Linked DNA regions of Caenorhabditis elegans. The protein of the gene in region 2 interacts with the protein of the main gene of each other region in a biochemical or structural test. Each region holds a gene or a part of one and is shown on either strand. Other genes may lie near its edges. The genes, in order: egl-6 and flp-5.

Region 1 (15,810 bases), 2.6 Mb from region 2:
GTTTGAACTGCAAGACTTATTATAAACTTTTACCAAAATAAACCAAATTAAATTAAAAATAATTTCTAATTTTCAGCTTACCCAGTACCAACTCGCAGTAAGAAAGATGATCTCGCCTTCATCATGTACACATCTGGAACTACTGGAAATCCGAAAGGAGTTATGATTTCTCATCAGAATATTGTTGCTGTTACCGCTGGACAAGCCTTCAACATCGTTCTCGGGTAATTTGTTATGGTGTAAAATAGAAGTTAGGTAGACTATTCCTGGACGTGCTCCCATTTGGCTTTAGTTTATGTTACTTCCGAGCTGTGGACGTTGGTTAGGGCTAGGAGGGGAGCAGGGCGTGAAATCGTGACCTCTAGATTTTTAGCTACCACCACTACCGACTGAAACTAAAATTAGTTAATTGGGTTTTGTTTTCAGACCAGATGACCGATATATCGGATATCTCCCTCTTGCTCACATTTTGGAAGTATGCGCAGAAATGGTCGTTTTCACTAAAGGAGTCCGCATTGGTTACTCATCAGCTCAGACCTTATTTGACAGAGCACCAAAAATTATGAAAGGAGAGCACGGAGACTGCTGGGTTCTTCAGCCAACTCTTATGGCTTGTGTCCCTGCTGTCATGGATCGCATCTTCAAAGCTGTCATCGATGAGGTTAACGCTAACAGTGAACTTTTCAAGCAACTCTTCAAAACTTGTTACGAAAGAAAACGGTCCCGTTATGAAGAAGGATATACTAGTTTTATTTTGAACAAGCTTGTTTTCAATAGAATCGGTAAACTTCTTGGAGGAAAAGTTCGACAAATTCTTTCTGGAGGAGCTCCATTGAGCCCAGAAACACAAAGATTCATGAACATTTGCTTCTGCTGTCCAGTTGTACAAGGATACGGGCTCACTGAAACCTGCGGAGGAGGAACTATTGCCGACATTCATGATTTGTCAACTGGAACTGTGGGACCACCGCTCACATGTTGCGAAATTCTGTTGCAAGAATGGGCAGAGGCTGGATACTCACCGAAAAATGATCCTCCACAAGGAGAAATTCTTATTAGTGGACCAAATGTTGCGTTGGGATATTTCAAAAATGACGAAAAAACCAAGGAAGAGTTTGTTAAAGTCAATGGAAAAACATTCTTCGCAACTGGAGATATTGGTGAATTCCGCGAAGATGGATCTCTCAAGATTATTGGTAAGTTTTCTAAAACATTCAACTTTTTTAAAATTAAAACATATTCAATTTGACCTTCAGACCGTAAGAAGGACTTGCTCAAATTGGCTCACGGTGAATATATTTCCCTCGGAAAAGTTGAAACTAATCTTTTGACTAATCCAAATGTTGACAACGTCTGCGTGTATGGTGATTCGAACAAAAGCTTCCTGGTTGCGTTGGTCGTTCCAAATCAAAAGAATCTAACTCAATTGGCCAGTAAAGCTGGTGCAAGCAATGATAACTTTGAGAAGCTCTGCGAAGATAAGAAGGTTGTAGAGGCATTGCAAAAGGAGTTGGCTCAATATGGAGCTTGTAAGTTTTAACGGAATTTTTTAAAGAAGGATTATGACCAGTGGGAAAATTTTTAAAAATCATTCCTATGATGCTGAGATGATCAGGAATCATAATAAAATTTTTCAAAGAACATTTTCGAGTTATTTTGAGAGTAAACTAAATTTTCATCAATTTCTGACAACATAAAAAAATTTCCAATATTTTTGAAAAATTTTGAATGAATTTTAATTATTTCCCATTGGCCCTATTCCACTTTTAAAATGCCAAAGATTCACGAATTTCTCCAAAATAAAAATCAATATTTTCAGCCAAACTTCAACGCGTCGAAATTCCACAAAAAATCTTTATTTGTCACGAGCCATGGACCCCAGCCTCCGGGCTTCTTACCGAAGCCTTGAAGCTCAAAAGAAAAAATATCGAGAAGGCCTTCCGCAAAGAACTTGATGAGCTTTATAAATAGAGCTTCATCTACTCACTGATCTTACCCTGTTTCTGCCATTCAAAACGCATTCTAAATACTTAATCTGTTTTGATGTAGTCTAGTATAGAATGTACAATATTCTCCTTTCATTTCTCTTTCACAGAAATCTTGCTCATTGTGTGCCTTCATTTCGCAGTTTAAATATTTTTATCACTCTTATTTTCCAAGAATCAAATCCTTTTTACCGAATCACAAATCGACGCGGTGGCCATATGTTTTAGGGTATTCTGATTTCCACGCTTTTAATGGAAAGAAATCTGCTCTTGTTTGTTTTTTTTTGTTCTTTTCAAAATTTAATTTGTGTATAACGTTCTCGACCTCCTATTATCATTATCTCATTCATTTTATTGATTCAATGCAAATAAACTTCTTTCAAAAAAATACATTGTTTAAGATGGAAATCGAAGAATCGACCTATGATTTGGAATGAATGCACGTGGAATGTGACGAAGAACTGAAAATAGAAGAAAAAGCATGGATGTTTTCGTACAAGCTTTGTTTGGATAAATGCGATTTTGTGTAATTCTAATTGCAAGCTCATTCATCTTTTATTTATAGAATTTATTTGGCGGAACCTCGATTTTGAAAGCAAAGTTCAGAAAATGAAGGATCTCACGGTTATTAAAAATTATTAAGCAATATGAGATATTTACATTTACTTTTTTTTTCAACTAGTTCACGAAATGCAAAATTGTCTTTGTGCGACAGTTCTGTTTGGCAACTTGTCACTTTGAGGCATTTTTTCAGGTTGGGTTAAATTTTTCCACACAAATAAGTCATATTTTCAAATCAACCATTTTTTTTTTTTGTTTCTGTAATATTTTTTATCGAAAAGTTGGTTTTACAACTGAAAAAAACAGCTTAGTTTGGTTACCGAACTGAATAGGCGAAAAATCATGTTACAGAGCTTCATTTTACTGATTTTCACTAATTGAAATTTGAATTTGCACAAAAGTTGCGAAATCGATTTGGTTTTTGTAAGCTGTCATAGAAAGTAAAAAAAGCTAAAATTGTTGAGAAAACACTTGCATTACTGAACGGGAAGAAAGGCTAAAAGATGTGCAATACTTATATTTAAAAAAACATTTTCGAATGCAATACTGATAGAAAATACCATTTATCATTTTAAATCTATTCGCCAGAGAACAACTGAGCACAATTCATTTTCGCTGTCTCTTTCATTACTCTTCCAGAAACAACCCAAATCTCACCATTCAAATTCCGAATACACTCCCCGAAAGACGGATTATAACCCTGTCTACATTTACAGGTGCCTTCAATGCACTTTGTCGACGGTCTGCAGACTCCTCCTTGACCGCACGGATGACCTGCTAAACCAATTGCTGGCAGATTTTCAGGCTTGTCATCGTGCAGGGATTCTGAAAAGACACTGCTCAGTTTTAGAGGGACTACAGGTGCCAAATTTTAATTATTCGTTTATTTAATATAGAAAATGAAATATATAAAACTTAAAGTTTTGAAGTACACAGAGGAAGCTAGGGTTAATAACAAAACATACAGTATTAAAGACTTTAATTCAAACTCCATTTCTCTAATTTTCAGCTGCTTTTTTCAAATTTAACCAGAATTTCCTGTTGTTTCTTTATTGTAATTGTTTGCATAGGAATATAAGTATCTTATTCTTAGTATTTCAATAACACTTTCACATGCACTACTCTTTCTTCAGATTAATCATTTTTCCAAACTAGTAAGCTCATACCAGATTCTTTAACTTTTGAATCATAAACTGATTGATCCACACATTGTCCGTCAAATTCTCTTTCCCCATCCACGCATAAACACAAAATATCAATGCAAATAGATCCACCCGAGCATATTCCTCCGAACAGGCACTCAGTTCCAGGAATTCCAACTGAAAACATAATATAAAAAATAAAACTTTGGAAATTGTTGGAACGAAAAAAAAGCATTTACCGGAAAACGTTAAGTTTTCTTGTTTTTTTGGTTTGTATATGAGTACTTGTATAGACTCTTCGGAGACCATGTTCACCAGATATCATAACCGAGAGCAAAACATATGTGTTCTCGACCACATTTATAAATTCAGAAATCATTCAAAACTTACGTTTACCTTCAACGCCATACACTTGTTTTGCAGAAACGGAAAGTAAGATTAGGAATTGATAAGTTGGAAGCATCATCTAAAAAAGATAAAACAATGGAACAAATCGGAATGTGTGAAGATACCCGAATGTTTGCAATTCGTTTCTTTGCCTCCCCCAGTCAACTGTCATTCGTGTTTGTTTTTCCATTTGCTCTTTTTTCTTTTTTCTTGTCAGTTTAATCAGCCCAAATTAGGATGAGCCCTGAAGTTTTGACAATGAAACAAAAAACAAAAGTTCAATCAGTTGGCTTTATAGATTGTTATATTTTTGTTGTAGAACGTTCTAGAATATTTTTTCCACAAAAAAGTCAGGGAAGTTTCAGGCTTCAAAAAAGAAGTAGCCGCAAGAATTGTATTTTTTTTTTGGTTTCATTAGTATTTGTTTCATGTTTACTCTAACTAGAAAACAGTGCAAATTATCTTCAGACCCAGCCACACTGATGTGAGTCAAATTTTTTTACGGGGGAATTTACATCTGAAACCCCCATCTGAAATCCTAGTTGTCGTTCGAAATTTTACTGTGCACTTTTTGCTAAACTCAAAGAATTGTATGAAAAAGTTCATATTACATTCTTTTTTTCATTGGTTATGTGGATAACGAGTTACTGTAACTCGTATCAATTCAGTGGCTGAAAAATATTTACCATTATTTTTTCAATTAATTGGGTTATTCAAGTAGTGTCGGAAAGTTTAGAAGCAGAGAAAAATTTTAATACAGTTGTCACGTCATTTCTCTATCCTTTTTAATTTTTCGACACTACTTGAATAACCCCATAAAAAAGCATTCCGGGATGTAGTAACTCATTGTCTACGTAAGTGACCCCAAAAACTTCTTATCGCTATACGTCTACGTATTAACTTCACTGACAGGAGAATACTTTTGAAGGTGTTCAGAAAATATTATTCTTTCCGTTTAAAAATTCCGCTAAGACTGTCTGTCAAGATATGAACACTTGAGACTTTTTGCAACAAAAAAAAACCAAACGCTTCAAAATACTGCAATTTTTATTGTTTTGATAGATTAAGAAGCGATTCAATTTGTTAGTGTAGCAGATAAATATGCTATTTTTTCTATTTAGAATTTAAAAAAATTAACAAGTATGCTGAAAAATTATATTTAAGGTTTTAGAAAACTTTTAAATTCTAAAGAAAATTGCTTTAAAAAAAGTCAATTAGACAAAATCATTGAACACTTATTTTTTCATAACTTTGATTTTTAACTTTGAAACTTCAGTTTTCCAACTTTTAAAAGCTGTTCAAATAGAGAAAACACACTATATTAGTAAAACAATACAAGTTTTATTCATTCTCGGAAGATTTCAAGATAAACAAGAATCACATTTTCAAACTTGTGACTTTCAAATTTTTCAGACGAATTGAAGTTCACAACGGGATAAATACAAAAATCAAGAATTATAGTTGAATTGAATAACTACGCAAAGGAGATTAAGACCCGACATATGAGCTTGGCGCAGTTCTATTTATCAGAAAAGTTCGTGGGGACTTTGTTTCGTCGTCATGTCGATGATTCCAACTTCCTGAAAAATTGTATTTTGAATTGAACTTTTTAGTCAGAAAAAATTGTGAGTAAAATGTAGTTATCTCAAGTAGATGATTCATCCTACAATTTTGTTTGAAAGTACTCACTTCGAGTTCCTCTTAAACTATTCTTTCTGGTCCATGGGAAGAATAGTGCTCGGAACGTGGAGAGATACTCATTGGACATGGTGCAATAGAGAACGAAGCTAACAGAGCTGTACAACAGCGTCAGCATTTCCATCAGATTTCCCACTGGATCGTAATACCGATTTCCGAACTCTTCACCGTAGATAGCCACGCACAAGTTAAGAATACCCATGGGTAGTTCTACCTGGAATCAGACATACGTTTCATGGTAATCATAGACAAAATAATATAAATAATCGTAACAATACAGCAATCACATACGATCAGACATTAAATAGTGACTAACCATTACACATAGGAGTAGAATGATGACGAGCATTCGTGTTGTGCGCGGTCTGGTCGTCAACTTTCTTTTTGCTTTTCTCTCGGAGTTGGTGCAAATGTTGGCACCTTGTGTACGCTTCCAGTTTTTACGCCTTCGTTCTACGCTTTTCAAAGATCTTATAAGAGCAATGAGTAGTATTGAGAGAATTAACGACGGAAGTAGTTTGAACACAATACCAAATGCCCAGAAAACTGCGGACACGAGAAGTGGACTCTCTTGATAACTGAGGTCGTACAATGGACCTTCCATTTCGCATTGCAAATCATAAGCAACGTGGTCACGAGCGACAATTTTAACCTGAAACATAGATGAAATCAGATTCGAGATATGAAGATTAACTACACAAACCTCGGATATGAAAAACAATGGAAGACTGATGATAGGAATGATGATCCAAATGATAACGTTTGCTGCGATTGCTGGCTGGCATTTATAGATGAATCTATTCGCTTGAATTGGAAACTTCAGTGCACAATACCGAAACACTGCGACAACGATCGTCGTTGTGAATGCAACTGAAAAGTATTTGAGTACAGTAATATGCTTGCCAATCTAAAAATACTTACTTGTATGAAATACTGTATTCAGGTTGACATTGAAGAATCTATATCTTGTAAATGCTTCGGACCATAATAATTGAACACTGCAAAAAACTGGAACATTGTTTTTTTTATTTGATGCATGACGTACCATTGATATCTATAATACTCAAGCAATAAGTAAAGGAAGTAATTGGTCGCTAGGAGCCATTGTGCAATGGAGAGACCTGTGAGCAGGATGTTTATTGGGGTTCGCATCCGTTTTCTGGAATAACAGGTACATTCATCCGTAAAAAATAAAGAAATATATAACTTACCTTGTGAGCACAATAATATTGAAGACGTTTGAAGCGGCTCCGAATATACAGATAGAAATTGAAAGAGGAATATGAATTTCATCGTAGTACTGCAAAAAGGACTTGTCAGTTATGGCTCGCGACGAGACATTTGTTGCATTTTCACGACCCGACAATCCGAGTTCCGTCCATTTCCCCATTTTTTCACTCTTTCACGTTTCGGAACGAGCCCGAATAGGGAAGCAAATATGGGAAAGCAAAAAAGATTCCGGTTCAAAATGCTGGAAAAGCTTCAAACGTCCATTCACAACCGGATTATCCCAGCGACAATCTCTAACAACGAGATAGCAGGAAAAATTGGACGACAAAATAAATATTCGTTCCAGTCAAAACGGAGTGGGAGGGAAAGGGGAAATCTAGTGAAATCAGTGTTGGAAGTTCCGCCCACTGTGTAGCGCGTGCCCCTGTCTATCAGCTAATTATTTTTCAAGTTGTGTGCATCGCGTGTCCCCCCAAATGACACCATACTGATTCACTGGTGCCCAGTCAGAAACACATAGATGAGTCTCTGAAAGACTAACTCGCAGTGTGAGGCCGTAAAACGGGTTTACGATCGGCTCCCAATAGAGTCTCGTACGCAACTAACACCCAAAGTACACGTGCAGAATTGCAGAATTATTTAGGTCATTTGAGGAATGGGACACTACTCCGAAAATGGGGAAAATGTTTGAAACTGTTCATATGCCGCTACATTAGGTCCTGATAGGTTTTGTTCCCCCAAAATGTTTTAATTTTCTAAAATTAAATTTTCCACCTTTCAAATTAAAAACAAAAACAAAAGTACGGAACAAAGCATTCGTTTCTCCAAATCGTTCCAAAAAAGTTCACGTTTTTGTGGTTAATTGTAACTTAGAAAATTAAAACATTTTGAGGGTAACAAAACCCATGAGTACCCTACAATAAATCATAATAGCAAACTTTTCGAGTCCAATTTGACAAAATTTTCCAAAATTTACATTCGGAGTTGCTTGAAATTTCTCAAACAGTCCAAACTTTTAGAAAACTTGACAATTTACCAAAACTTTGATTGAAATTTTTTGAAAAATCGGAGCATTTTTGAAGTGTTGCACGATTATATTTGACTATTATGAATGTGATTAAATAATATTCCCACTGATGATACTCCAACTTTGATAGTTTCACATAAGTGTTTAAACCAAGTGAAAATTATATTTTCGATGTAAATTTGTCTAGACAGTGACTTTTGTCCTATTATACAATTTGAAATTTCAAGGGTTCAAACTTTTGAGGTTGCTTAAAAAAAACGTCCATGCTTTTTGATAACTTGGTAATTCACCACAACTTTTACTGAATATTTTGAAAAATCTAAGAATGTTTGGAGTGTTTCACAATGATATTTGTTCATGTCAGACTATCATGATTGTAAATTCAAACCCCCCCCCCTCTTCACTGATGTTACTTTACTATTAATAGTGTTTATAAGTGCTTTAAAAACGTTCAATGTTCTTGAATATTCAAAATAGAATGTTGCTTCAACACATCTAATCTCATATCTTGAGACATTTTGCTCTCCGATTAGTGATAACAATTAATTTTTCCTAAACTGTTCTTTGGCAAATATCAAAATTGAAACAATGATCCTATGGCTTCTATCACAAATTTGCAATTTTTCCAAATTTCCAACGCGTCATCAAAACCACCTCCCGAGATTTTAATGCTTTGAACTCACCATGGCAAACATGTGGATATAGCATTCGAAGTATGTACAGATCAGTGTGTCATTCATTGCTGAAAAGCTGTCATTGTGTTCTATGATGTTCTCCATCTGCAACAAAAGACCTGTGTTGTTTTCAAAGTTATGCAGGGAGAAGAACAAGAAAACGTGAGGAAACGGAGGTGAAGGCAACAGAAAAAAGATCAGGAAAAACCTTTTGACGTTATATAAATTATTAAATCATGAGCATTATATAAAGATTTCTGGAGTATAGAAAGTTCCATACCTTAAATGAGTTCAAAATTCAAGAACAGTACGTAGAAATGATTAATGTCTAGTCTCGGGAACTTATATTCCCCTGGCACGGTCTACCGTCATATAAGGTTTTCGCAGTACATTCTGACAAATTTATTGTTGCAGAAAGAAAAAAAGAAAATTGAAAAAGACACGAACGCAGCTTGAGATAAATAATTTTCGAATCCGGTACACCGTCATTCTCCTACAAAATGAAGGAAGGTTGACTGAATAATTAAATTAATGTTTTCTTTCATGCTATTTTCAAGACAAAAGACAAACCCGGACACTGATCTGTCTATTTGTAAGTGACAAGTAGAATAATATATCAAGGAAAACAATGGACGAGGGATGAACATTTTAGTGTTTGTTTCAAATCACATTTCGAACTCGAGGCGACGTTTTAAATCTCCGCTACTTTGCTCTTTTGCACTCTGAATTTTTGATCATCAATGGAAATCTTACATCTTCAATATTTTCAAACGAAAAATCCAGCGGTCAGTTGAGAGTCTATGAATTTAAAAGTATTTTTCAATCGTCATAGTATAAAATTTTCCATTTTTGTGGAGGAATAAATTGCAAGACTTTTTGAGTTGAATTTTTGAGTTGGATATAACCATTTTTATCAACAGGAGCTGAAACTTTCAAAGTAAAATTTCAAAACAGTTAATGATAATGTAACAAACAAATACCTAATTATTCAATCAAACACTTTTTGTAAGTTTCGCAAAAATTGTTGTGAGCAAAACGACAAGAAAACGACATTAACCTCAAAAAAAACCTGTCAAATAATGCAAAAAAGTGTGATAGTTGAACGAAAACTAATTTGTGAAACTGAAAAGATGGCAAAAATTAAAGTGGTAGCTCAATTCAGCTGATTTTTTTCCGAAAAGTTAACCTGCTTTTAAAATTTTTGAAAATCTTTTTTAGAAGTTTCATTATTTAATTTGACCGTTTCAAGTCTTTTTAATCAAACATTTAGGCAGAACAAAAACCCACAAACAAAAGAGAAGCCTTAACGCTAGATAGATATTAACGACTGTTTCAAAAAAATCACAAAATAAAGTCTGAAGTCTTAAAAACGGTTTCAGTAACAAATAAAAAAGAATCAGCGAAAAAGTTAACTTTGGGAAAAAAATAATTCTTCGATGGTGACGCATAAAATAATACAATAATAGCATAGAATACGATTGGATATCTATTCTTCTTTATTTCAGCTTTCTATGTTGCCAGCTTTAAGAGGTTCCAGAAATCAGATATTTTCACTGAGTAATCCAATAGAAAACTATTATTTTCGCAGAAAATAAAAATGAAAAAAAAAAAAACTTTACAGCGAAAAATTGATTTTTAAAACGTTTGAAATTGCAATTTGTTGTTTTCTGCTACTGTCTTTCAAAACAATTAATATAGCATTGAAATGACAAGATGGGAGTGAAAAGCAATCATAAACAAAGACAAATGTGTCCGATGGATTACTGCGGAGTTGTGTTTCTTTCAGTTGCCAGTTGAAAAGTCAGAACATCATTAGAATCGAAATTCGGAAAGAAAAATGTACTTGATCGAATTTTTTAAAACAAAATTTAATGAAAGTGTGAACATCAATTAAAATGCGTGAGAATTGAGTAGGAGAGGAATTAATGGAATGGGAATAGAAAGTAGTAGCTCTAACTTGAAACCTTTCGGTCTCACACGGAACTGAAACTCTTTCCAAATTAGAAATTTACAAAGCGACGCAAAGACCTTTGATTTAAGTATTTATATTTTCTTTTGAAAACCAAAACAATAAAATTTGTGTACCCATGATGTGGGTACGATGTCTGATGGATTCTATCTAATATACGTCTACTAAATTGTTATTGTTTTCAGGAGCCGACTACATATTTCGGGATACTTTAGGGATTGTGTCAAACCCGGGGATGTGATTCTTGTCTTCTAAAACATTCTTGTAAAACAGAACAAAATCAGAATGATTCAGAAGTTTTGCATTATTACTCGATACCGTGCTCAAAAGTCTAGACAATAGAGATGAGTTCTTTCTCAATAAAATCACAAAACAAAAAATTTTGAAAACGAAATTCCTGGAAGGAAAGTTTTCATGGAAGGAACGCACCACTAGGGGAATAAAACACGTAACATAATCCCTTTAAAAATTTTCGATTATCAACTTCATTCTTTGAACTCAATTATAAGCTTGAAAAATGAACAACAAAAACCACAATTTTGCAAAATTGTTGACGATGAAGAGCCGAGTTAAAGTCTAAAGGGAATAAGAGTTAGCAACTATCATAGAGAAAAATTTCTTAAATCTTTTTTGGCTAAAATAACCCAAACATCGCAGTACATTTGTGAAAACATGAGTTCTTGATAGGCCTGTTAGGTAGGTCGAGATGGGTCGACCCGCATAATTTTCAGCTTTTACACGTGTTTTTCGACAAAAAATAAATGTATAAGTTTTTGACAATTGTTCTCAATTTTGAAAAACATGGGTCGGGGACGCGACCCCGACCCAAAATATGGGTCGGGGCTGCGATCGCCCGACCCGGCCGACCCAAAAAAATTGGGGCGACCCCACACCACAGGGCTAGTTCTTGCTAAACCTCGACTGGAGATTCTGAAAAAAAAGTCTTTCAAAAATTTTTCTAGAGGTTTCGTTGCAAACAACCAGTTTTTTTTCGAAGTTGACATAACATCTTAATAAGTACCGCAAATTTTAATATACATAAAAGAAAAAATTAATTTTTGAAAATTTTCTACTTTTTCAAATCTTCTCAACGGAAAAATAACCTCTTTCTCAAATTATAAAAAGTTTTTGTTGCAAATATTAATTTTTTCACGTATTTAAAAAAAACTTTGGTGATAGAAGCTGTAGAAATATTTGAAATTTGCCGAAAAATTAAAATGTTTTGAAATTTGACAAAGCAACAAAATTGTGAATGAAACATTTCAAATTCCTAAGTCGTTTGTAGCCACTAATAGGCACATGACGCCACTTTATTTTTACATGGAAAAGCCAAACAATCTGATTCATCAAACAATTCCTAACTGAGATTCCGGTGAAATGTTCGAGAAGATGTTCTAACGGAAAAATATAAATGAAAATTGAGATTTGTTGTTTCCGCACCACCAAAAAAATTGCGGAAAGATGAATCGTGCAGCTAAAAACATATTCATAATGCATAAGATCAGAAATTTTCATTTCGGGATAAAGAAATGAGCAAAATATTGTTGAGAAATCTAACAACGCAAAAAAAAAACGAAAATCGTCGTTCGTCTTATTTTCAAGTAGTGTTTTTGAGTTGAAGACAGACCTCTAGATTTTTGCATTTTTTGTTGAAATTTTGTTTCAAACAAAAAAGGATGAAATGTTGATCAAAGGGTTCAAAGAAAAATTTGATTTTCAAGTGTTTTCTTCCGGTTTTTTGGAAGGAGAATATCCATGAAATGTTCATTTGAAAATAGTGATAATCATGAAGCAAAAGACAGTATTTTCCAGAATGCATCAGCATCTTTCCTCCATTATTATGCATAGTCATTAAAATTATAAGGACTCTGTTCTCTCTGGAAATGTTGGGAGAAGTGCTAGCGTTTATGACTAAACATATAATATAAAATTTACAGAAGAATTGTAAAAGAAACAAATAACAGGTGAAAACTTAACATTTGAAGCTTGAACAAGTTTTCAAAATTCCTTAAACCCCCGTGAAAATTCGAAAAAAGTAGTTTTCACCTGCCGTATTTCTAGAAAATGTAAGTTAAAGTTCAATTATTATGTAAAGTTCAGCGTGGGCTAGCGAATCAGATTTTGAAAAATATCACACGTGAAAGTTACTGGATGTTTTTTCTGTAAAAATAAACCGCAGAAACCTGACATATGTCAGCTCGCAAAGAAGATAGAAAACAGGAAAAATCTCAGTGGTAAAATCTCAGACAAACACAACAAAATTTGATCCGCAACTTTTTTTGTGATGGGTGTCATTGTCTGAAAAAAATGCTTGTAATGTGAGTTGGGAAAAAAAAAAAGAAAAACATTAAAAACACCAACCGCTCATGAAAATTACATTTTTACTGGAATAAATAAAATTCAATTTGAATCCATTCGCGGAGAGGAACAGAAAAAACTCAACTGATCACACATTTTGAGTTAATAATATTTTTTATATTTTGCAGAGTGTTGTTTAGTATTTGATGACGGAGAATAGGTTATTATTATTAGAATGGTAAGAACACTTCATGGTGGTTAAAAATATCAATATTTAGTGCTTGGGGTACGTGCATTGCATAAAAGTTGAAGGGGTATAATTGATCATGATGTAATAATTGCAAAAGTTTATGACATTTAGACTGAAGAAGCGAGTTTCATTTTTGACTAAACTATGAAATTGTCAATTCATGGTCTGTTGGGATGGATTATCAAGCATTGTGAATTTACTAAATTCGAACAGATTAACATTATTTATTCTTGAAAAAAAATTGCTCGGTTTCGTTTGATTTCTGATAAAAAAGAGATTCCGAAAAAGGCTATGAATTTTTCTGAGATCTCTGGAATCACGAGACTAGTCACAAAAAGACAGAAAATTTTGAAAGATCAAAACTTTTAGAAAAAAGTAAAATTGTACTTGACAGTGAGGAGCTGGCTTATATACTCCTATACTAGTCTAACATGGCGAATAGTAATAGTGAAACTCTTTCAAAATACAAAGTTTTTTTTTTAATTTTGAACATTTTTCTGTCAAAGTTTTGATAAATGTTAAGTATTACAAAAATAAAGACTAGTTGAAAATTCGAGTTTGCTGCAAAATAAATAATTGTAGAAAAAAATTGTCATAGTTCCAAAAGTATGATAATTTTCACCGCCTTTTCACTGCTCATGAAAAATATTTCAAAATTTCTATTTGTTTTTTAAAATTTTACCGAGATATTCGGTCATTTAAGCAATATACGACTAGTTTGAAAAAATTCCCTGTGACGATACTTCACCTTTAACTAGAATATCTTAAATTCTGAGAAATCTTCAAAAATAACAAGATCTAAGAAGAAATGAAAAACAAACCATATAAAATATAAATATTTACAATTGTATTTTACGACATTCAATATGAAAAGTGTAATGTATTTTGATAGATTTTACTTTGTACCTTCTAATAACATGTCTGCTCAAGTACAATGAACTAAGTGAACCGATTGACTCGGCCACAATGCATCTAAACTGGCCCATTTCCGGTCATTCGGCTTTCATTCATGACTGTTTGCACACATTTAATCTGAACTCTAATGTTTTAATAATAAGCTGAGAAGACAATAATTGTTCAGAAATGTCAATTACACTAGGGGAGCACTGATGAACTATAAAAATGACTGAAACGCGTCGGAGGGAACAGGGAATGTTTGTGATGTGACAGTGTTTATTATTATGTATATATATAGTATTATGTAGTATTGAACATCGTAATCATGGCATGACAACTACAAATTTAAAATAAGTAGGAATTTACGTACGTGTTCATAGGATGATGGGCATCGTCACTCTAAATATCTGGACTTTGTAAGAAATGAGATGAGGAACAAAACAATCGAAGCAATAAAAGATGCGCTGCCACTCACAGCCGAAACTAAACTGAACTATCGCTCTTTCAAAAATTTGCGCATCATATCCTCTATGTAATTAGAAGCAGGCAGTAATCACATATTCTGGATCCTTCATTAAGCTTTACACAAGTTCCAAGAACTTTGTTTACTAGCACTCAGATACTATAAGCGAGTCACCGGAAAGCAGGAGGACCTTTGGTTTCTTAGCCTCGTCAAATTTAAGGTGCCAATTGTGGAAAAAAAATCGTGTGACCGAAAGAGTGAAATAAATTATGGCGAATTTAAAAGAAGAAGCCGCACAATATCTCACATTTTACATTTCCGTCGACGCGATTGGTTGGAAAAACGTGGGAGAGTAATGAAAATAGTTGAATGAAAAAGAAAACAAATGACTAACTAATAAATTAATACACATCATTTACCAGACAGATGTAAATATTGAAAAGAAACGGCATATGGTATGTATTTAAAAAATAATTGAATTTTAAAAAACAGGAGACACAAACGAAATAAAATTGTAATCTCACAAGTTTACTGAATGAGGACATTGTGGAAACGGCAACAAGAATCATCAATTTTTATAAATAAAATAAAAAAATGTGTCTCAAACAGGTCAGCTGCAGAAAGAAAGAACCTTCTAATAATATTTTAATACTTATGTTTCAAACAAAATGGAAGTTTGAAAATTCTCATCCCTAGGTAAATATTGCAATAATTAGTAAAACGTTTTTTTTTTCAAAATCCCCAAAAAAAAACGCCAAATAAAAGCAAAATAAGAACTTTGCTTACTAAAATCCCATATGACATAAAACAAGTGCTCAATCGAGCCACCTCCTTTTGAATTTTTATTTGAAGATCACTTTCAGGTTGTGGATCAGATTAAGGGTTAATCTAGTGCTTAACTGATTGCGTTTTCAATGAGTAATGTTTGAGATGGGAGTTTGTGACGCTACTCGTGACACAAGACAAAGACGTGTAGTTGCGATGAAAATTTTGAAACTTGCAATTAAGAGATCAAAAAACTTGGCTACATGAATTTATATGTGCAAATCACGTTGCATAGTAGCACTATCAAAAGGGCGGCGGAGTCTATTGTCTATTTCCATAATTCGGAGTTTAATTTGTTCTCTCATTCAGTTTCTACTACCAGCTGAAACTTTTAAAAAAAGCTACGCCGCGGCGCGTAATAACAATGTTAGAGTACTTTGCAAAATTTCAAGAACTTTTGATTT
Region 2 (16,528 bases):
AACAACTGAATAATAATTTTTATAAGCATTCAAGAATAATGTTTCCGATGCAATGTTTTATTATGATATATCAAGATGACAAATGGTTTTTCTTACAGATTATTATAAAGCTTGTTGCAGCCACTAGTCTTGAATTCTTGAGTCTTAGCTGGAGTGGTTTTCAAGCAGCATCTGAAGTCAGGGTCGGTAGTGCAGGAACCATCATAGACAGCAGCACAGTTATGAACACAGAGATTATAGCAAGTCTTGTTGGTTTGAGTGGCGAAACTGATCCATGGAGAGCAGTATGCGTAAGATTCACCACCGTTGACACCAGCACAGAATTCTTGACAGAGTTCCAAGGTAATGGTACTGATAGCAGAAACAAGGCAAAGTGCGACGAGGATGCGAAGGAACTGAAAGAGTATTTAATTATTGCATTCAAAGCAAAAAAGACTTACCATGTTGATGTATCAGTTGAATGCTGATGAGTTATGAATCTCCTGGACATTATTTATAGTCGAATTCTCTGAGCTGGATCCAATAAGTATTAGAAATTTTGGTAGCTGATGTATGTGAATAGAATTGTTAGATTTCGAGTTTTGGGGCGTAGGATGACTTAACAAAAAAAGTCTAAATAATAGACAAGCTGACAGTTTGTTCATGAACTTTTTTGTTTGTCGTTCAATAACTCGCAACATATTGGAACATTTTAATTGGAGTCTGGATTCCCTACTGTGCTGTTCATGAACGATTTCATCTAGTTTAATAAAATTGACTCCTACTGTGAAACAAAATTTATAAAATCTTTTGGCAGTGCTGGGAGAACATCAGCATTCAACTGATACCTCAACATGGTACGTTTTTTTCTGCTTTGAATGCAATAATTAAATACTCTTTCAGTTCCTTCGCATCCTCGTCGCACTTTGCCTTGTGTCTGCCATCAGCTCCATCACCTTGCAACTCTGTCAAGAATTCTGTGCTGGTGTCAATGGTGGTGAATCCTACGCATACTGCTCTCCATGGATCAGTTTTGCCACTCATACCAACAAGACTTGCTATAATCTCTGTGTTCATAACTGTGCTGCTGTCTACGATGGTTCCTGCACTACCGACCCTGACTTCAGATGCTGCTTGAAAACCACACCAGCGAAGACTCAAGAATTCAAGAGAAGTGGTTGCAACAAACTCTACAATAATCTTTAAAAATGTATCCGTTTCTTCAGTTGTGGCACATATTTAATAAAATCTTATACAAAACAACCATCTCTCTTTATAATATTTCGGAATATGCCAGGAAATAAGGGACTGAGATTACCGGTCATTATATCACATCTATAATTTACAAATCTGGTTTATTGTAAATTTTTGATGGTTTAAACTGATTTATTCAATAAAATATTGTCTTTTTCAAAATCCATTGAACAATGCAAATGGATTTCCAAACTACCAGATTAATTGAAAAGAGAGGCAGAAGGTTGCTCAAAGTTTTTTTGTTGAAAAATTGAGGCATTCAATCTTTCAAAAAATACTAAAAGTTTTAATATATAAAGTTGTACAGGATGGAGTAACATTTCTGGAAATGTTTTATTGTGACCAATGACAAAATTTTTTAATGCAAGGCATATACTAATGCATTTATTTGCAAAAACTATTTATTTGTTAAGCGACTCGTTGTTTTTTATTAAATTTAAATTTGAATCTTGTATATTTGTTATTCCATTTTCACTTTTGGAAGCTACAATTTCTGTCAGTTTGTGTCAAGTTGAGCAACCTTTCTGGTGATTTGAAATGGACAAAAAAAGCACTTCCATTACTACTTTTTCGGCAATGACGCCGACTTTTTGAAATGTCACCTCATGTTATGGAAGAATGGACTTAAACAGCACAAGTTGGAAATGGGAGCAGAGTAGAAATGACGTACTTTCTGTGCAAACATAGTGGGTCGTTCCCTATCCGCTGCGTCCCAAAAATACACCCCGTCCTGAAAAAAACACCCGATTTAGAATAGGCAGAATTTTCTGAAAAAATTTCGCATTCGCATAACTTGGCATAAAAATTGCAAAACATAGCGCATAGAAGTCTGCATATTTTTAATCGATGATAATTCTTTTGATGAAATAAATGTTTTTTTTCGCGTTCCAGTAGTTGACGAAGATAGATAAAGTTTGTGGATTCGTCCAAATTTCTATAAAAACGGAAATGTTCAAGTTGGAATTAGTCGTTTCTGCTTGTTTCCTCGAACAGAAATTGAAATGAAAGTTTCGCCAGATTTTTTGATTACAAGTTGTCACTTTGAAGTTGGTAAAAATTATGTATAAAGTGAAAAGCAAAAGCACTTTGAGATTTGACAGATTTATTTGTTTGCCATAAATTTACGAAAACTTCAAACACCAAATAAAAACGCGTAAACTTCGAAAAAATGTGTACAGCCAGTTATAATATATATGATAATAATTAGTTATAGTTATAATATAAACTATTCGCTTGCAGCAATCTTTTTAAAGTGTTTAAAATCCGGAAAACTAATATCACGAAAAGTAAATTAAAGGTGGAATACGACCAGTGGGAAAGTGATTGAAAACTATTCTTATGATGCTAGAATGACCAAATAAAATAATAATTTTGTTTGAGTCAAAATGAGGGGAAAACTGAATTTGCGCCACTTGTCAAAAAACTGTCGGAACATAAATGTTTTGAGCACGATCTAAACTAAAAACTGGAAGGAAAAACACATTTTGATCAAAATTGGCAGTCCACCAAACCCCGAAAGGTAAAAAAGGATCCACCATTTACAAGAAATTTTCCAAAACAAATTTTCTACAATTATTTTGTGGTCATTTCAGTAGAAAATAAGAGAATTTGACCTTTTCCATGTTTTTTCTCAAAAAGGTTAAAAAAAATAAATATATTCATTTTTCTTTTTTCTGTTTCAAAGAAAAAACAATTTTAAACATATTACATTTTGATGAGTCCAATCCACCAAACCAATTCAGTAATGAAATATCATCAATACCTGATAAATTGTATTTCCAAGCAAAACACCTAATTTGTAAGATGAACTATTGTGCATTGATCAGCGTGAATATCATAGTTTTGCAATGATCTCCAGAAATTGCTCCAAATTTACGAGAGCTTCTAGCCTCATACGCGTTTTACAGTTCTCCAAATTATAAAAAAATGGGCGTTTGTCGCAATGTACTCTTACTATTCGTGCGTATTATTGAGTTGTTAGATGTACAGTTTTGAAATGTTCAACAAATTGAAACATTTTATATAATATATGATATTTGAAATTTCCTATTAGTGTTTTTTTTTTGCTTCAATATTTATTTCTGGTTTTGTTTTATTTATCTCAATTTTACAAGAGTTGATGAGTGTTCCCAAATAAATCAAATTATTATTACTCCCACTTGTTGTATGACTGCAAGACTGCAAGCCTAGTCATGATATCATATCCCAGCATCTTTGTGTTTTACCCACCTTCACGTGGCCATAAAATATTTGTCACTCTCTAATTTATTTCCAGTATTATTCTCAATGTGTCCACTGATTGAATAGTTAAAATAGTTAGTTATCACCCACAAATCAAACGACTTTTTTGTGTCCGTTTATGTTTTTAGGTCTGAAAGAGTTGATGAAGTTTCTGCATGACTGGTCGCAGTCAACGTCACCTAAAATCTTGATTAAATTTTTTACGCTGTGCGTGATTTTTAAATTCTTTACATGAGTGCGTTCCAAATCTTTCCGCCTACTCATGAGGTGCCCTTTCTAACACAAGCACTCCGAGATACCAAATAAACTGCCATGTCTTGTGACGTGTCAATCTCAATGGGTTGAAACTGAGCTGCGTGGGGTACCTAAATTTTGGATTAAAATAGCAAATCGTAAGGTTCATGCATTGAAAATGACAAGTTCATGGAAGCTCTCTGCCTATGAGAGAGAATATCAACCGTTATTTTTCAGTTTTCACGGAATAGAATTAAAAGACTTCTCCGGGAATAGCATAGTCGCTGCGAAAATAAATACAAGTTATGTGTTGTTCGATCGTTCCAGGCGTGTAACGCTGAAGACTTAATAATAATTGTAAGGCATCCTACATTCCCTCATAAAAATACATGTCATCTTTGCTCAAAGACGCGGATAAGTGTCTAAGCACATCTCATCAATTCTATTGTCTAGTGTCCTGAGAGGGTGTTTTAAAATTTAGACGGGCACGTTTGTCACCACTTCCCTATCCTTCTTCCATAATCGTCATTGTTTTGTTTATAAGAAGTTCTGAATTTCTGAGCTCAAAAAAAGTTATTTTTTAAAGAAACAGAACTATTGAACTCAAAGTGTGAAACCGTAATAGAAGACAGGGAGGTGCTAGCTGTAACCAAAATTCGAAAATAAATTATTTTTGAAACCTCTGTTCTAACCAACTTTTCAATTTTCTGTAGAACTCAAGGCTACCAAAGCCAAAAAAAATTAGTAAACGAAAAAACATTTCAAATAACATCTATACTGCCACCACTTTCTAAAAACCAAATTGGGATGATCGTAAGTTTTGAAGATTAGATATGTGTATGGAGATTTAAACAAAAATAAGTTTTTAAGTATTTTTGACACATGCAATAGTAATACAAAATGAAATGATTGTTCAATTGTGTTGATTCCTTGGCATAAAATTTCAAACCACATTCAAACATTGACATGTCATTTGATTGACTAGATTGCAGTATTTAGTTAATATTTCGATTAAAAAAAAGAACGCACACAATTTTTGGAAACATATTTAGGTGAGACGTCTAATTAAGTCCATATTTTATAATGAATTGTTTACGTGTTTCTTATTGTTTTTTTAAGATCATGGATTATGGATACTTGTTATTCAAAAATTTTGAAACATAATAATTTAACGCAACGTTTTTCATTTGAGAAGGCGTCGAAATGGAAAACACAAAGAATATCAGTTCGCACAACAGTTCGAAAAAAATAGGAGGACAAATAAATGAGTGAAAGGGTATATTTCAGGTGGGGACTTTTTAAGAAACACTATGCAGTTAGACAACGTAGGAGCAGTGATTCGACACGAGTTGATTGTTCCTAATTAGCCGAATCGGATGAATTTGGCTCCACGTTTAACGTAGAGCTCGTTGACCGATGGTGAGGCGTATCCATCTTCCTGAAAATTCAATAAATGATGATGGCATAATGGTTAGTATACATGAGAAGTTGACGTTTCGGATGCGTCATTACTCATATCCATGTGTTGGCATATGACATAGTGCTTTTTAGCGTGATATTTTCATATATGTATTCCGTTTGTAAAGATAGTGGGGGAGCGGGGTTTTTAATATTTCAGAAAGCTAATAGCTTGTAATGCAGTGTGTACTCAGTCACGTCGATCTTTCATGAAATTCTGACGTTTTTCTTGTGACTTAAAAGTATTCCGTCTTCGCTGGAAATGACAGGCATCGTTTATCCTTTATTAGTCTCATCATATACTTATTAGTCGAAATTTGTAAATGTTCATATACGACTAGAACAATTTTTTTAAGGTGCTCCCCAGCATTACAAAAAAATCTCTAGACTCAGCAAATATCAAAACAGATAAAAATCAAGATTTTCAGAATATAATTTGCATACGTAATAAGGGGGTCGAATAGGATTTTCTACAATGGTAGCAGCTTAAGCTATGTGTACAACAAACACAAGGAAACAAGCTTTTCAGAACCTTGGTTTTCGACTTATGCAGTGATTCACTGAAAAAATTATTTTCTTGAAATACTAACCCAAGTGTTCCTTGATCGCCCAAATCTGATAAACTTGGCTCCTGCACGACCGAATCGGATGAATTTTGGCTTTGGTGCTCGTGCTATTCTTTGGTATTTTTCAAGGTAGTCCGCGTCTTCGGCACTGAAAATATTCGGTGTTATTAGATTGAAAAGTCCATATTTGTGAACAAAGAGACCGTTGTTTTATTTTTTTAAAATGTCATAGAACCTTTCCTGTCTTTTTTCTTACGTATTTCACACGTCAATATTGAAAATGTGTCTATTTTAATTACCACCATTTATCATATTTTTAATATTGTGTTTCGGTTCACCACGACCTACATTTCTGCATATAATTGTTCAAAAATAATTGAAAAATGAAAAGATAAGAAGGTTACCACATTTTCCTTTTTGTCGCTTAACCAACTACTTTACTTTTCCAAACTCAATGAGCACATGCGTCATGTTAGCACGCCAAGTGCAAAATTAAACGCTTCATTTACCAATTGTATTGAACGACTAGAGCAAAAAAGTGGTGGCAACTTTTTGAAGGAGACATGTTTTGTGAGTGCTCTGATCCCTCCAGTGACTTTCTAAGAATGAAACAGGGAAGTTTCAAAGTTGCCTGATATTAAAGAAGCGGGATAAATCGAGAACGGAATGCTAATTTGTGTTACATTGAAGGTCAAAGAAGCTAATTTTATGAATTCCACCCTCGCTTTTCTATTAGGTTAGAGACTAGTCCTCAACTATTTTATTGTTTGACATACTTTTGTTTTTGTTTTCAATGCTTGGAATTCAATGTTCTGAATGGGAAATTCCAAGCTTTAAAACAAAACAAACAGTTTAAAAATCTGAGTATTTCGAAAAGTAATTTCAAAAAGATATTGTCATTGAACACTTCCATTCTTTGTTTATAACGTCATCTCTATTTTTTCCTTGCTGAAGACTCTGGCCTCCCAACAAAGTTGTTCCAATTTTTTAAACAATAGTATGGAAAGAATGGGTCAAAGTGCATCTCACCGGAAGCATCGAATGCAAAGCGAATAAGCAAAAAGCGCGCCTCCTAGTACTCGCAATTGAATTTGAATGGCTGATTGATATTTCCGCTTCATCCGACACCAAGAGTCCAACAGACAAGATGGGATCCCCCAAAAAGAATAAACTCACGTCACATTACGATGCTCATGAGAATGAAAAAAAGGGAGGAGACCGGGGTATAAGTTCGTAGGAAGCGCACAAGATGCTAGTAGTAAAGTGAAATGCCGAAGAAAACGAACAGAATCTAGTATGTGTGTTAATCACGCCATTGCATCTTTGTATAATTAGAAAATTACGAAAATGATGATGAAATAAAGTGCATGATGAAAAATGCGTCACTTTTGAGCAATTAGCTGTACAACGATGATTTAATTTGGATATTGAAACTATTTCTGTATTAGTATTTAGTTTTTCTGAAAAAGATAATTTGCTTGTACCTACGACTTTAATAGGTTCCGTTGTTGTTTCAATCTAGACCTTCACGCACCGTTAGAGTTTTGGTTTTTTGTGTTTTTTTTTCTGTCTGAGTTGGTAATTTATGTCAGCCTTTTTTAAAATCCTTTTAATAATTTTACTTTAAGTCCTAGCGCCTTTTCTTTTTAGGAAGTCCATGATAGTCTCAATAGCCGAAGCAATGATCACAATCAAGAACAAATGGCCAGTTTTGATCAGTTGGGGTTTAACAATTGGCTCATCACAGCACCTGAACCCTAGACATCAAATTAACCTACCTTGATTGAGCGGAAACACATTGGAAGACAAGAAGGGTGGCGATGAAGAGGAAAGCAATCGTGGTGCTTCGGCTGCTCATAGTTGCGAGGAATGACTGTTTCGTAAAAGGCGGGTGCTGTCGTGGAAGCTGAAAGGCGGGGACGCTGCGCATGGCTTGCCAACTGGCTCCGCCCCATCTCTACTATTATGTGGAGCGGTTGGGAGCTGAACTAGAGATGATGGGAAATAAGGAGTAAATTGAAACTGTAGTTGTTATTTTTGGGAAGAGACTTTATCTAAAAGAGTTGTTATTATAGTAGGAAGAGAAGATAATTGGAGAAATGAAGATATCAACATGTCTACTACAACAGAAAATAGCAATATGCTTTTGATAACTTGCGTCAAAGTTGCATGACATAATTTGATGAATTAGCTCGTCTATATTGGCGATCAAAAATATAAAAAGAATCCTCCAGCAGATTTCTGAATTCTCTGCGCAATTCGTCACACGACCCAAAAGCTTTTTTAGGTACTTTTAGGTACTTCCTTCCAGACTTCAACTTTAACAAGCTCTTTTTGCAAAACGGAATGCCCTCTATGTTTCCCATTTAACCCCGTGGAGATTGAAAAGTAAACGATCTAGTAAGCCTCTGGGGGAATAGAAGGGGTACCGGAAAACTAACGACTTAACCCAGAGTTTGATAATAGAAATGGAGTCAGAAGCCGAAAAGCTGATTGAAAACAAATAATAGAGTAGGATTATTTGTTTTCGAACCAGGGTCACTATCAATTGGGAGAAAAATAATAATACGAAAATCAGAACAAAAAATTAATCAGAAACCTTTCAAATTTCAAATAGACTTCTAGTGATTGTTTTAGTACGTCATAGAGCATCAACTTTGGTTTTTAGAAAACTTGCAAATCGATGTAACGCTATTCCCAAAAAACACTCCGACGATCAACTATAAATTTTGTTTATGTACCAATTCATAATTTCCACGAACCGATAAAAGTGCTCATGTACCGGTTTTACTTCAAAATGAGAGTTTTGTATTGTGTTCACTTGCCGAATTCTCATTTCCGTTTTCCATAATATACACAAGAAACAATATCAATTGCAAGATTCATTTCAGATCCACCCGTTTCAAGCCCACATTGCTTCTTTTTTCTTAGATACCACAAAAAAAAACAACTAAACTAAAGTTAAAAAACTGAACTATTCTGTTTCTAGGCGGCGCGTTCTCCGTAGTAAATGGGAGATTCTCCGAAAACTGCAAAATGTCAGTGTTGAATGACCGATTTGACATGTCGGAGGAGGAAACGGCGGGGCCTGACATGACGTGTCCGTTTTGGCCCACAAAAAAGTTTTAATTAAAACTGGAAGCTACGGGAATGAAAAAGTCTACGGGCGAGCAAACAAACCGTAAAGCCTAGAATTTTCAGCATATTGAATTTTTACGCGAACTTTGTATTTGAACTTTTGCTCGATGACTTTCTTTACGACATGTGTGAATTTTAAGATCATGTTTCATTTTCTTAAAGAAGTTTGTTTTCAAAAAGGTTTATTCAATACTAAAACACAACAGAACCAATTTTTGTTACCCTCTTTCAGTCTTGATTAAGAGTACTAAAATAATGCAGAAGTGTACCAATTGGCCATATCATCTGTACTTTTTGTGTTCAATATTACTTTCCAAGAGTTGTTTTATTGTGTTCACGATCTTTATTTATACTGTCATCAAAGTTTACAAATTTGGTACACCCACATTTCAATGGTCATATTACACAGATAAATGTCATCACTTCCCGAAATCTGCGGAAATCAATGGTTTTTTCATTTCCTATTAAAAAACATATTCCGGAGATTTTGTATCAATTTTAGATTGAAGTGTTTCTTTTTTACATTGACAGGTGCAGAGATTTGAGATGGAAATCGCTTAAAATTAACAAGTTTTTATTGTAATAATTTAGTAGTTTTTAGATTTTTTTACATCTGAAACTTTCAGTCAAAATCCGAAGATTGAAGTTTCCTGCAAATATTTGTGCATAGAAATTTGCAATAAAGTGAAACCTATTGAAGCTATTGTCACTCTAACTTCATCAAAATAACATTCACATGGAGCAAATTAAATCAACGTAGTAGAAAAACCATTTACTATTGTCTTCACCAAGCTCTCAAATATCAGTTTGCTGCAAAATGGTCAAGTTACTTGATTCATCTGTGTTCCTCAGATCAAAGGAGTTGATTCAGCAAAAAATGCCACCGGAAAGAAAATGTCTTGTAACACAATACATCCCTTTTTTTGAAACACTATCTGAAGAGTTGATGCTTCTAGTTGATATTTCAAACAAAAGTTCAGATATTTGAATCCAATTTCACACGAGAAAATGTTCAGATCTCAATACTCCACTCTGGAAATGCAGGTGATATTATTTGAATGTCAATCGAGAATTTACGTAATCACACATTTCTCTGTATTTCAGATTGAAGCACAAACTCTTTGCCAATCAAAAAAAATCCTAAGACAAATGGGTGAAGTTTTTAATAATTTCGCAGAGGAGAGGGCGAACATTTGCATTTTAAAATTCAGAAGGCGCTGCGAATGACGATGAAACGTTTCCTGTTGTTTGAACTTTTCAAGTGGGGGCGAATGCAGAGGGTTCTGACGTTTTGTTGAAATCTAATCACCCCCCAGCGCCGTTTTTAGGATGTGGGAGGAAGCAACACACAAGTGTATAAGCTGCATATAAATGTGTAAAGGAAAAATTGGATGACAATAAGGTTGCAAAACGTACACATTTAAAAGTGGTAACACGATATTTCAAAATTTAAGTCAATTCCTCTATAGTTTGTTTATTAATAAACAAAAACCTTTATGTCGAAATAAAGTCAAAGCTCATCTGTAAGATCTGGAAAACAAAGATCAAAGATTCTGATTTTCACGTTTTCAATGTTGTCACTTTTGATCAATTAAGACAAAAGGGTAATCCGTCTCCCCAAATTCCAATTGAAAGTGCTAGCTGATGTCTCATGAGTTCTCATTTTCAAAACAATGACCTCAAAAACCAACCACCCTCAGAAAGAGAACAGCTGAAAAATGCGTATTTTTCCAATAATCTTTGATATCGTTTCTCCTCTCAGATAGAAACACAAACTCAATAAGTTGGAACATGGATAATATGTGAATAACAGTTAATTGAACGGCGAGACATATGTAACTTCTTTGTTGATGATTTTATTTAGGAAGTTACGCGATTTATGTCGGTTTCAGATATTAAAAAAGGAACTGGAAAACTTGATATCTAGAACTATCATTAAAAAGTATTATATTGGCAGTTTACGAATTGGCCGAAAAATAATTTACTGCTGGCCTAATTGTTCAGTCAATAAACAACTCTGTAAAATATATATTTGTAACAGATCGGCGACAAATTCGGCCTAAAAAATTAACGTATCGGAAGTTTGTCTGAATAAATTTGAACTGGCTTTAAAATGTCGAATATAACGAGACTTCTCAAGTTACTATCAAACTGATCTTTTTCTGATACCTTCTTTCGTGATACTACGATATTTGCTACAAGTTGAAAAGTTAGGAACAAAAATAACGTCATCACTGTTTTTATATACAAATACAATTTTGCAACTGCCTTTTTCCGAAATGTACCCAGTTTTGTCTGGTTTACATACATAAATAACATAAAATGGGCAACATTCGGTTCAAACAGTTTTTCCTACTAACTTGAATTGGTTTGTTGTACTTTATCATTAGGATTATTTTTTTTCAAATTCTATACTCTTTCAACTGTTTTAGGTTTAAATCGAAATTGACAGATTGAAAAATTTTGTTTGAGCAACTTTAACCGCGCGGATTGCAGCTTTCTATCTGAAATTAGCATATCTAAAACTAATTTTTATGCACATTGTTTCTCTATTGTGAAAATGTGTCGAATTATAGTTTTTGGAATCATATTTTAATCGAATACATGTCAAAATCTTAATGAAAAAATAGCACTGAGGTGTCCAGGTAATAACTTAATTTATTCATTGAATTAAAAAGGCTTGAAAGAAACATGAAAATGGAATGGTTATGAATAAAGTTGAGAAAATTCTAAAGAAAGTTGTTTTTAATGTCAAATCATAGAAGATAACAAATCATCAGGTTCCGAAATTGCTCAAACTTTTCATACTGTGCTAAATTGACCAAACACATCAGAAAACGCTAAAAACACTTCAAGTTCAAAAGCAAAACAGTTTCAGTCTTCTGTTAGAGTATTGTGGAATGGCACAAGCCTGCACAAAAAACATGACATTTCATAACAGAACAAGGTAAAAATTGAACGAGTTTTGATTTATAACATTATAAGATATTTGTTTTATATTAGGTTAATTTAGCACTGTTTGTCACGTCACTTGTAATCTTTTTGAAACTAAACTTTAGTTGTCTGCAAAATTGTTTCCACCATGCTATGGATTTGATTATTGTGTCAATCATACACATCCGGGATTTTGAAACAATTTGCTTTGACTCTATTGATGTCTATATTGAATTGGTTAGATATTTCCTCAGTTGGCATTTGAGCCCATTTTCTATGATGAAATGGGGTCAGGTTTCAGATCAAAGTCGATACAATGGCAGCTTTCAGAAAAGAGACAAAATTACAAATTTTTGGTACTTACGTATACATTATCTTCGCAGTAGAACATGTAACAAAAATCTCAAAAGAACAATTGAGATTAGGATTATTCGGGGATCATTGCTGTCCTCTGTAACCTTTGACAAAAAAATGAAATCACTGAAAGTCCAGATGTTCTCATTACCTTTCCTACAATCTTGGATTAGTCTCTAGCTCTTGTTCTGAACAATCCATAAACGTTTAAGTTGTTTTGTTTCTCTAGTAAGTTTAAAGAAAATATTAACTTTTTGAGGTCTGAAGTACATATTTCCACAAAATACACGCGCTCCAAATTCTTCAAAAAGTAAAACTCTTTATTTTCTGCAACTTTAACTTTAGGAACTTCATTTTTTGAAATTTCTCATTTCTGGCAGCAATCGCGGTAACTGCTAGTTTTCAGGACTTTTGGCAGCAACGAGAAAATATGAAAATATAATTTTAGAAAACAAGATACCAGGAAGTTGAAAGATGCGAAAAATAATAGACGATAAAATAATCATTAGCTTTCGTCATTAGTGCATAACAAATTTATTATCAGCATCATTATGAGCTACAGACAAATGGAATATTCTGATGTTTACATACATAACTACCGGAAAATCAAACAAAATTAAATGACGAGATAACTCAAGTCCCTCGTGGTCTGGGTTGTACTTTAACCAACAACTTCCACAGATTTCATGAAGAAACAAATCTTGGACTTTGATTAAAAGATCTTGCTTTCTTTTTTGTATTTTCTTGTTCTTTTACATCAACACAATGTGACCATTACCTGGTTATCATTATCCATTCCCACGTGATCCAGAAAATTGTCCTCCTAAAATTTGAATGTCTCTACTCGGTAAACTACCATAAAATTACCGAAAAGAAAGGGATATTCATTTTGTTAATAACAAAGAATGCTGTCATTTCGAAAATAAACGTTAGCACATAGTAGATTGAAGCAACAACCGTGTCCTGCTCTTTGATTTGATACAAATCTGCAACGAAAAGACAACATTTTTAACAACTGAATATCTATTAAATTTAACTATTCATCAAAAATATTCATCAATCTGGATTCATCAAATACATTTATTCTGATAGCAAACTGAGAACGCTTTATATATCAAACTCTAAAACGGACATACCTAGATTGCACAGAGTATGCATTGTCCAAGAAAAAATAAATATTTTTATCAAGCCATGAAGAGCAAGGGCAAGTTTGATGTTACTGTATGCAATAAAATATACAGAGAGGACTGAAAACGAGACGATTCCCGAGTGGAGGAGTGGATAGTAAAAGTTTGACCAGACACCGAATGCCTAAAACAGTTGGCTTGAATATTTCAGAATCAGAACTTGAAGTAAGCTTGCAGTTTCAGACTTTCGAGTAATATTATTCATAAAATTAGAAATTAATGAATGTTCTTTAGCTGACGATACAAGTAATGGTGGAAATAGTTTGCAAATTTTTAAACACTTTTGGAGTAAATTTTGGAGTTTTTAAACACTTTTAGAGTATGTGTTGCAAAAAAAACTGCGCAAAATCTGTTGCATCCATCAAATTAGTGTATATTAGTAATCAATGTGCTCAATATCGTGGTGAGACCAAGGAATACAATATGAGTGCTTTTAAAATTTTGTTTTACGTTTTTACAAAACAATTCTTAAATGACACATCTTCTTGCTGAAACTCTACAGAAAAAAAACTAGAACACATTAAAATTACGGTAAATGCTGATATTCCCATTGTAAACGAATAAACGAGATCCGAGATTGTGTAGATAATCAGTGTCAACGCCAGTGGGTGAAATTTCTTGGTTGAGATCATATGAATAGTTTTCTTAGGCATTGCACTGTAAAAGTTTGTTTGTTAACTTTTTATTGAAAAATCTAATAATCAAGTGCAAAATAACCAGAAATAAAACAGAGTGTAGCAGCAATTTATTACATGAATTTATTTTACCTGGTATTTTTAGCTTGAAATTCTAAAAAATGTGTCATCGGAAAATATGGTAAAAACAAGATTATAAAATAATTGAAAAACAAAAGTTGTATATAAATGCTGATGCCACCTGAGACGATGTCGACGTTACTAACTATTAAAAAATTTTCAACAATACTTTATTTTGTCAATTTTTTATTTCTAAAAAAACATTGTCTGAGCATTACAAACTCAAGTATTGTAAAAACATTATATAGTTTTTTTTTTGATTTTTCAGAAATACTACAACTTCAAATATCAGATTCAAGAGTGTAAAGGTTAAGACCACCACAAAAGCTGGTGTGAATATGAAAAGATGAGGTTCTGAAACCTTTTCAAGAAATGAAGAAAAGCTGTCCGTACCCTCTGCTCCTAAAGAAATTAATGAGCACTGCTTCCGAAATGGGGCATGCAGTAGATCGGTTGGCCGGAAATTGGAATGCACAAAAAGTAACTGAAAGAAGAAACAACTTTCTTATGCCCGTGGTGGAAGTAATATCAAAGCGCTGAACTATCTGAAACATACTTAGTTTCTGGAATGCAAATATGAATCGACGCATTGAAAAAAAGATTGACAAAATCATTTCTAGTGAAAATATTAAGCGTTATTACTTGTACTTAATGACTTGTTGAAAAGCTAACTCCAAAAAACACAATAGATTGTAATAAAATAAAATTTGAAGAAAAAACAATCCAACTGTGCAATTAAATTTTAGAATTTTTTTTTGTTTTTTTAAATGTAGGTTTTTAAATACTATTTGTTTGTGATTTATATTTTCAGACTTTGAGAACTATTTCGTTGGACGTTCAATTAATTGGTGGCCTACACCAATTCTGACTACGAAAAACCCTCTCTCACTCCGCACAGCTCCTTAGCATTTTTTTAATCGTCTTTTTAATGCGAAAGAACACATTTCACATACAGAATGAAACATCCTTATAATTTCATTAAGCTATAAAATTGCACACATTCCACTGAGAAAACATTCCAGTTTGCGAAAGTACCTGCGTGGTTTTTAGAATTAAACTTTGTAGGTTTTGACGAACGTTTTTTTAAAATGATCCGGTGATTTAATCATAATGGTTGAGTTTAATTTATTAATTCAATTCTGGTTTGCACAAAGTCTACCAAAAAAAAACCGATTCATGATTTTTCGTGTAATCCGATATGGTGCCCTTCTCCAAATAAATGGCCTCGTAAAATGTGACCATGGTGGCTGATTTTTTTCCGTGTATTTCTACGACAAAATGAGTCATGTCTTTGCATTTGAAAACTAGACCAAGACACATCTATTGTTCTATTTGTAGTTATTTTGCTCTGAGAATATTCCGACTCATATCTATTGGAATTGACACAAATAAAAGGATGTTAGTTTTTTTTTTGCGTCGTGTTTGTTCCATTTTCCGAAATGTCATTTGTCTGATGAAATCAATTGTTAGCGTCTAGTTTCGAGCGATCCCACTGTGAGCTTTGTTTGGGAAAATTTTGGGATTCGGAGCCTGAGTCCCGAGTCCCTAGACAATTCAATTAATGAGACTTAGCGGGCCAAATCTGTGCCTTTGCCCTAGTATTACTACATTTTTATCTGTTTCGTAGATTCTTTTCTCTACTTTAATGTTTTTCGGTATTATTACAGATGTTTTTAATTGTTTAAAATCATTCAATCAAAAAAAATTAGCTCGAAAAAATCTTGCGCTGTAGTGACAGTATTGCCAGTTGGGAAAACTGCACACTAACCATACTACATATGTGCTTACGTAAACTGACTCAAATAATACAAAAAAGTTTCATCAGAGGAGTTGGCAAGCATCTCAAAGTTTGCGAATTCCGATAAACTCACAAAATATGATACTGGTAATGAATCATTTTTTATACTTTTTTGTTCTCTTAACAAATTATTAAAGGGCACACCTGTGATAAAAGAACTATGTAGTGTTAACTTTTCTCTAGACATAATAGAATTTTAACAATGTTACTCATTGATTTGTTTTTTTTAGACCACTCAGAGTTACAAAAAACTTCATGAGCATTTTTAACCAATCAGGGGACGCTTTTGTTGTCTCACCCTTTATCTTTCAGAATTTCAATGAGCTCGAATCGATCGAAATCAAGCATTGTAGTGTCGGAAGTGTCATCTGATAAGGTACGTGATATTTGGATGTCAAGTTGTATTCATGCTGTCACAATTTTCATGTACTCGTATTTTTTGAGCAGGTCATATTTCCACCCGTTTTTCAAGACATCTAAAAGTAATGAGATACTGACTCTTGGAAAAGCGTGGCGGCGATCCAAGCTGAACCTTCGTAATTTTAGGCTTCTTGTCATCCTTCTCTTCCACACTCATCCTATTTCCCTTATTTTTTATTTATGAAAATCTTCTTGTCAACTTAACCGACT

What was found.
Region 1: the proteins of flp-5 (region 2) and egl-6 interact in a test that uses a peptide from one of them, tested with the Caenorhabditis elegans proteins (one large-scale study listed by BioGRID).

The regions. Positions count from the first base shown.
Region 1 is NC_003284.9:5,924,121-5,939,930, reverse strand, and holds egl-6 (G-protein coupled receptors family 1 profile domain-containing protein), read right to left. Parts: upstream 7,346-15,810; 5' UTR 7,164-7,345; coding exon 6,985-7,163; intron 6,933-6,984; coding exon 6,819-6,932; intron 6,772-6,818; coding exon 6,695-6,771; intron 6,644-6,694; coding exon 6,477-6,643; intron 6,426-6,476; coding exon 6,090-6,425; intron 5,988-6,089; coding exon 5,765-5,987; intron 5,656-5,764; coding exon 5,564-5,655; 3' UTR 5,399-5,563; downstream 1-5,398. Other genes in the region: acs-17 (long-chain-fatty-acid--CoA ligase), read left to right, coding at 77-224, 427-1,196, 1,257-1,529, 1,820-1,971; C46F4.3 (EB domain-containing protein), read right to left, coding at 2,382-2,446, 3,204-3,371, 3,713-3,865, 4,079-4,154.
Region 2 is NC_003284.9:8,519,384-8,535,911, reverse strand, and holds flp-5 (GAKFIRF-amide), read right to left. Parts: upstream 7,592-16,528; 5' UTR 7,591-7,591; coding exon 7,511-7,590; intron 5,881-7,510; coding exon 5,757-5,880; intron 5,147-5,756; coding exon 5,072-5,146; 3' UTR 4,879-5,071; downstream 1-4,878. Other genes in the region: nspc-2 (Nematode Specific Peptide family, group C), read right to left, coding at 93-395, 441-443; nspc-1 (Nematode Specific Peptide family, group C), read left to right, coding at 834-836, 883-1,185; C03G5.14 (Serpentine Receptor, class BC (Class B-like)), read right to left, coding at 13,011-13,144, 13,295-13,469, 13,876-13,998. UniProt on the Caenorhabditis elegans protein: FMRFamides and FMRFamide-like peptides are neuropeptides. GAKFIRF-amide has an excitatory effect on dissected pharyngeal myogenic muscle system.